2 linked regions of the Canis lupus familiaris genome follow. The main gene of each other region encodes a partner of the protein of the gene in region 2 in a complex. Links are inferred from orthologs where the notes say so. Each region holds a gene or a part of one and is shown on either strand. Other genes may lie near its edges.

The links.
Region 1: the proteins of MED23 (region 2) and MED24 are in contact, whole or in part, in a cryo-EM structure (PDB 7EMF), measured with the Homo sapiens proteins. The link is inferred for Canis lupus familiaris from reciprocal best matches to the Homo sapiens genes MED23 and MED24. Residues at the interface, in NP_004821.2 of Homo sapiens: Asn150, Thr151, Val152, Ser153, Ser154, Glu193, Gly194, Leu196, Pro197, Trp199, Leu201, Gly202, Asn203, Ser206, Asp207, Asp210, Arg213, Tyr258, Asp259, Lys260, Phe263, Ser1133, Arg1139, Ser1176, Glu1180, Glu1182, Trp1183, Val1184, Tyr1186, Arg1189; in NP_055630.2 of Homo sapiens: Lys238, Thr239, Leu280, Leu283, Lys287, Val291, Glu295, Cys336, Glu339, Phe340, Lys343, Leu344, Thr345, Pro346, Leu347, Asp349, Lys350, Gln353, Lys384, Glu720, Lys721, Trp723, Thr756, Arg757, Lys758, Glu759, His760, Met802, Asp803, Pro804.

The regions. Positions count from the first base shown.
Region 1 is NC_049230.1:22,467,690-22,471,212, forward strand, and holds part of MED24 (mediator of RNA polymerase II transcription subunit 24), read left to right. Parts: intron 1-117; coding exon 118-204; intron 205-647; coding exon 648-759; intron 760-1,263; coding exon 1,264-1,406; intron 1,407-2,643; coding exon 2,644-2,681; intron 2,682-2,932; exon of another isoform or gene 2,933-3,036; intron 3,037-3,117; coding exon 3,118-3,200; intron 3,201-3,523. UniProt on the Homo sapiens protein: Component of the Mediator complex, a coactivator involved in the regulated transcription of nearly all RNA polymerase II-dependent genes.
Region 2 is NC_049233.1:365,059-368,581, reverse strand, and holds part of MED23 (mediator of RNA polymerase II transcription subunit 23), read right to left. Parts: intron 2,079-3,523; coding exon 1,954-2,078; intron 1,535-1,953; exon of another isoform or gene 1,388-1,534; intron 823-1,387; coding exon 617-822; intron 529-616; coding exon 348-528; intron 1-347. UniProt on the Homo sapiens protein: Required for transcriptional activation subsequent to the assembly of the pre-initiation complex. Component of the Mediator complex, a coactivator involved in the regulated transcription of nearly all RNA polymerase II-dependent genes.

The DNA.
Region 1 (3,523 bases), on a different chromosome or scaffold from region 2:
GCCAGAGCCCATCTGCCATCCTGAAGGAGGGAGGAAACGAGGCAGAGGCCTACTGTCCCCATCCCTCAGTCATCCCTGCTGTGTGCCCAGGCCCCTCATGATCTTTTTCCCTCACAGCTGTGACTGTACAAAATTCCTCCTCCAAGAATGTAGCAAGCAGGGGCTTCTGTCCGAAGCCAGTGTGACCAACCTTCTGGCCAAGCGGTAAGCATGAGTTCCCCCCGGCCTGGCTGACGTGCCACTTGCCCCCCTTTCCTCCTGTCCAGGCTGGACTGCTGGGTGCCTCTCCCCTTCCCGTGCAGGTGCCTGGGGCCATGCCTAGGCTTACCAGGAGTGGCAGACACGGGTTTCTGTGCACTAGGCTTCTGCACCCTTGGGTGCTGCACTTGAATTCTCACCCTCTGTGAACACAATAAAAATCCTAAATCTTCCTTTAATCTCAAGTGAACTTTCAGAGTTGAGGTAATGATCAGTGACAAACTGAAGCAGTCACACCAGTGGACATGCATGCATGAACATCACCCCAACCGCAGAGGTTTTTCTATGCTCCCCACCTTCTCTGGGCCTCTGCTTCTGGCGCTGGACCAGGGAGCACATCAGGAACTTCTTTCTTTTCCCTTCTCTTGGCCAATGGCTTATGGCCACAGCGCAGCAGACCGGGAACATGCACCCCAGCTGAAATCAGGAGAAAATGCCAACATCCAGCCCAATCCTGGGCTGATCCTCCGGGCAGAACCCACTGTCACAAATATCCTCAAGGTGAGTATGCCCTTCCCTTGTCTCCAGGGTCATCTCTTCCTGTTTTCCACTTTTGCCTCTGCTTCCAGATAAAGGAAATTGAGGCTGTAGACCTCTTTGTCTTCTGGCTTTTATATGTAGTTACTTTGGAAGTAGAGAAGCAGGCAAGGCAGGGAAGCTGCCAATGAAAACTAGCATTTGTTGGGCACTGCTTGGAAGATAGGCACTGTGGTAGATGCTTCCACCTGCTCCTGCAGAAGCAGTGGGGACTCTCACACACACACACACCCACACCCCTACCGCCATGATCCCAGTTTAGTTGAGAGGAATGGATCAGAGAGCAGATGGATTTGGGGAGTGATTTTCCAGATTGGAGTCAGAAAGATATAGGTTGGATTTCAGGCTGTGGTATGCCACTTGATGGAGACGTGCAGAGCAGGAAGCTCTGGTTGATTAGGCTGTATCTGGTGGTCGTGGGAGGTCTTTGGGTTTTCTTCAGGACTTGATTTCCTGTTGTGTCCCTAGACGATGGATGCAGACCACTCCAAGTCCCCAGAGGGGCTGCTAGGAGTCCTGGGCCACATGCTCTCTGGGAAGAGTCTGGATCTTCTGCTGGCCGCCGCTGCTGCCACTGGGAAGCTTAAATCCTTTGCCCGGAAATTCATCAAGTAAGGAATGGTGAGCCCCTAACCGAGTTGGGAAGGCGTGTCCAAAGGAAGAGGTAGCAGAGTAGGGGCAAGACCCCAGGGTCTAGGTCTCCCTGGAGATGCCTAGGGCAAGCCAGAGCATCCCAGTTGAAGACACTGAGCGAAGGGCCAGGTCTCTGGATGTCAAGTGCTCTTTTCTCTGCTGCTGAGCATGAAGTAGAGGTGTTTGATGAGATGAGAGGCACTAAATGGTGGAGTGAAGGGATTCGGGTGCGCCCAGTTGTTACTAAGGGGCTCTCAAACACTGTTGACTCTTTGGTTGACATGGAATTTGATACATAGAACTTTGTTCCATCCGGTGAGCTGTTCTCTGGGCCTTGGATTTTTTTTTTCTTAAGATTTTTATTTTTAAAGATTTTGTTTGACACAGAGCATGCGTGCACCTGCATAAGCAGGTAGAGGGAGAAGCAGGCTTCCTGTTGAGGGGGTAGCCCAATGCGGGGCTCGATCCTGGGACCATGGGATCATGACCTGCGCTCAAGGCAGATGCTCAACCATTGAACCACCCAGGTGCCCCAAGATTTTTATTTATTTTTATTATTTTTTTTATTTTTAAAGATTTATTTATTCATGAGAAACACACACAGAGAGAGAGGCAGAGACATAGGCAGAGGGAGAAGCAGGCTCCATGCAGGGACCCCAACATGGGACTCGATCCTGGGTCTCCAGGATCACGCCCTGAGCTGAAGACGGCGCTAAACCGCTGAGCCACCGGGCTGCCCAAGATTTTTATTTTTTTTATTTTTTTATTTTTTTTTAATTTTTATTTATTCATGATAGGCACACAGTGAGAGAGAGAGAGGCAGAGACACAGGCAGAGGGAGAAGCAGGCTCCATGCACCGGGAGCCTGACGTGGGATTCGATCCTGGATCTCCAGGATCGCGCCCTGGGCCAAAGGCAGGCGCCAAACCGCTGCGCCACCCAGGGATCCCAAGATTTTTATTTTTAAATGATCTCTACATCTGTTTTGGAACTCAAACTCAAAGCCCTGAGATCAAGAGTTACATGCTCTAATGATCAATCCAGCCAGGCATGCTGCCTTGGAAATCTTTTAAAAACAAAGAGTTCTTTTTGTAGTGGTAGTGTTCATTTTAAGTTTCACCCTTAATTCAGACTTTAGTGACTGCCTTTCTGGACAGGCGTAGCCCCCTGAACCCTTGCCCTGCTTGCTGTGACCTATCTCTGTTCCTCCCCCAGTTTGAATGAATTCACGACACATGGCAATGAAGAACTCGGTAAGTCAGCTCTGTGCCCCCCGGACCCAGCACTGTGGAAGGGTCGGGGGAGAGAACAGGGGAGGACAGAGGGCCCGTTGCTCCTCCTGGGGAGGCTCTTTTCTCCCCTGAGCAATGACTGACTGAAGCTTTTGGGGAGCCTTGAAAGGGGAATGCTGGGCAAAGAATTCTTCCAAAACCACCTCTGTCTATTGCCCTCCCTCTTTATGATTTGGTTGGGTGCTGGGAAGGAGGAGGGTATCAGGAGTCTTGGATTCCAAGGAAGGGATGATGTTCCAATTGAGACTCAAGAAAAGGATTCTGAGCCTCAGAGCTTTGAAGGAGCCACTTGATCACTGACCTTCCTTGAGGCAAATCCTGACCCCCCCCTTCCGATCCAGACGAGGGTTCTGGGCCCTGCTCAAGGCTGTGGAGTCAGGCTTTTTGTTCCCCGTAGCCAAAGCAGCCTCAGTTCGAGCCTTGCTCTTCGACATCTCCTTCCTCATGTTGTGCCACGTGGCCCAGACCTATGGTTCAGAGGTGAGTGAGAGGAGAGCAGTCAAGATTAGGGGCACCAAGTGGGCAGGGAGAGGGGGAAGGAAATGACCAGTAACTTGGCCGCCCCTCCCCACCCCGCAAGCTACTTAGTTCTGCTGGGTGCAGAATGAAGGTGCCCCTGGGCCCATAGACGCCCCCTTTGGTTACTCCGGAATCCTTCAGTGCCACACCCACACCCACCACTAGGTGGCAGCATAGCCCCTGTCTTTCTCCCTGAGACCAGTGCATCTTTAGTTCTTCAGGCTGGAAAGAAGCAGCAGTGGGGCAGGAAACTGAGGCACAGAGCACTGGCTGCTGACCCTCCC
Region 2 (3,523 bases):
AAGAAATAAAATGACTTTTTACCAGTTCCTGCCTCTAATGAGAGCCTTTGGGAATCAACTCAGGGCCTAATTGCTTGTACTTTTTACAGCATCACAAGGCCAGATCATGTCTGCCTTATTTACTTCTATATTTTCTGTGCATAGAACACAGCAGATATTTAATACACACTTGCTGAATGAGACAATGGGAAATCTCTAGTTCCTTAGGGAAGTGATAACAATGCTTGATTATAGTATAATTGCCTTAAATCCTTATAGATCATCAGCACAAGATCCATCAATCACACACCATGATCTAAAAGAGAGTGAAGTAGCTTAGAAACTTGTTCTTATAAGCATATTCTTACCAAGCAGAGAATCAATCTGTCCAATGTAACAATGTTATACTTCCATACCATGTCATTAAGAATTTCAATGCATTTGTTGAGTTGCTGACCTCCAGCTGATGTAGAGAACTCATATACTAAGAAATCTGCAAATGTTCTCACATGGGCTACCAAGGCCCTGGCTCCAATTCTTTCTAATACTCTGGAAAGCAGAGAGTAAAAACCAAGTTATATTGCTATGTGGTATAACAGCTTGTTAAATAGAATGCAGATCTAGGTTTCTGGCTTACCTATAGCCAATCTGATTAATATGATCTGTTTCCAAGAGCATTTTCCAGAGAAGACAAAGGAAGAGCGGAGGAGAGCCTTGCATAGAGAAGTGGGTAATGATGTCATTTTCATTGGTCATTGACTTCCACTTCCTATATTCCTCCTCCACATTTTTTTTCAGATTAAAACGGCTTTCCTGAGGTACATTATTCTGCTTGAAGAATGCCTAAAAAAAAAAGATCAAAAGTTTACTTTTATACTAAAATGAAGAGCAATGGCCAGAGTCAAGAAATCAGTTCTGGACTTGATTCTGACACTAATAAACTCTATGTGACCTCAGGTAATTAAGTAATCAAGGTGTGAATTTCTTTTTTTTTTTTTTTTTTTTTCAAGGTGTGAATTTCTATAATGGGAAAATATACAGGCTTGACTAGATAATCTCTAAGATTCCTTTCTTAGATTTCCTAAATAGATATTCCAAGCAAGCCTGAATTCAAAGCTTCCTCAAACATCTGTTGATATTTCTGTTTGTCTTTGGGAAAAAGAAAAAAAAAAAAAAAGAAAGAAATTATGCGCCTTTTGGTTAAAGATTTTAGTATCTCTAAAAGGAAAATCCATTATACTAAACCAATGGGTCTCAGACCTCCTGTTTTGGAAGTTCAGCAGTCTGTATCTGATCAAGCCCTCTAGATAATTCTACCAAGTTTGAGAGTTACTTGCCCTAGCCCTGTTGGAAGTTCTATAAAGCAGATATTCATTATGCTTAAACTTTTCTCTGAAAAGTAGAGGACAGCTTTGCGCAGTGGCAGTATTGCAGCCAATGAGGTCTATCCGAGGCACGATTATTGCTAATTGAAAAGTAGAGGACAGATGAGGTTTTCCTTTTTCCATAGTATAAAAGCCAAGTTTGTAGTTTTTCTCTCTGTATGATTAAAAAAAAAATTCAGTCAAGTGCAACAATGTGTATTCTATGAAGCTCTGTTAAGTTGTATCTCTCCCCATTTCAGTTCTAAAAAAGAGAAAGAATTTTTCAGGTAATGTGTTAATTCTCACAACATTCTAAAATTGTTAACTAATAACATGAAACCATAATTAAATTTTTAGGAACGTATCCAGGCCTAGAGTAAGTCAGGGAACAACTCAAGAGACTTTGGAATAGTACAGGTTTTTAAAAAAAGAAACAGAAGCTAATTTCCTTTGGATATCGCTAAAACCAGCTTTCTAGAATTAATGGGAAGAAATGAATTAATGGGAAATTAATGGGAAGAAATGAATTAATGGGAAAAAATGATTTCATATATACTAAATGGAAGAATGATTTTGTATATATTCAATATGTAATTCAAGACCAAATTACCTGTAGTGGGCCTGGAAAACAGCTAAGAGTGTGTGATGCCCAATTATGAGGAGTAAAACTCATGATGGTCTGAAGTATGTCTTTACACCAAGTTCCCTGAATTGAATCAGAGCCTGTAAAAAAATCTAAACATAAACAAACAGAGGTAATCCAGATATAAATGATCATACCCATAATTCATAAATGGTATCATAGAAAAAGTTATGTACACGCATTGAATTCCATGGCAATACACTCACTGCTTAACTAGTTATATTCAGTTTAGACCTAAATTTTCTTAGTTTATGAATGATTTGAATGATTACATTAGTAAACATGAACACAATTAGTGAAAAGAAGACATTTCAATCTATTTTTTTTTTTTAAGTAGGCTCCATGCTCAGCATGCCTCGGGCCTTGAACTCATGATCCTAAGATCAAGACCTGAGCTGAGATCAAGAGTTGGACATTTAACAGACTCTCAGGAGCCTCTGTAATCTTTTTTTTTTTTTTTTTAAGGTTACAGAGCACCAATGATCTAATAGTGACATAGGCCCACCATGATCGCTCATGTAGTTCAGTCTGACAATGAGGTATCAACACTTTATTGAGCCAAGGAAACAGAATTGAGAAAATATATCTTTTCCAGTGGTTGAAATAGCTATAGACTATAACTCTCTAAATCAAGAAGGTTAATTTATTGGGACACCTGGGTTGCTCAGCGGTTGAGTGTCTGCCTTTGGCTTGGGTCGTGATCCCGGGGTCCTGGGATAGAGTCCTGCATCGGGTTCCCTGCAAAGGAGCCTGCTTCTCCCTCTGCTTGTGTCTGCTTCTCTTTGTGTCTCTCATGAATAAATAAATACATAAATAAATCTTAAAAAAAGGGTTAATTTATGTAAAATAAGACAGTTTACACAGATGTATCTGAGGTTGCAAATTCAGTAACTATTTCTTTAAAACAGCAGTTCTCAAAGTGTGGTCTGTGGACTCTGTGGGTCCCCAATATCCTTCCAAGGATTTGATGAGGTCAAAACTATTAAAATAGTAATACTAAGATAGTACTAAACTTTTTACTGTGTTCATATGTGTACCAATGGGGCAAAGGTAATGGTAGGGAAAACTGCTGGCCCTCAGAACAAGTCAAACAGTGGCACCAGACTATACTAATAGCCACTGTAATCTTCACTATACTCTCACTAGGCAGCAGGGCGGGGTGGGAGGGGGCCCAGGTTGGGAGAAAATGCAGGTTTTACTCTAGAATATCCCTGAAGTAGTGAAAAGGACTGTATCTTAGCCCTTAAATACATCTAATTTTGTTGTGATAAAAATGGAAGTATGCAGTGTCCTAGCTACACACTGAAGTATGATGGGCATCTAAAGGAAAAGTACTTGTGCAATTGTCTGAATATCGAATTAAATTAGCTCTTTTTTTTAAATGGAATTCCATTTTTACTTGAAAGAACATCTGACAGAAAAACTACAGTTATTCAGACTTGGGCAATAAGCAGCATTTTCTTGAACAAAGGGAACCTATTACTTCAAGGAAAACAAATGACCACATCTTTTGCCAATGATAAAATTTGACTTTTCA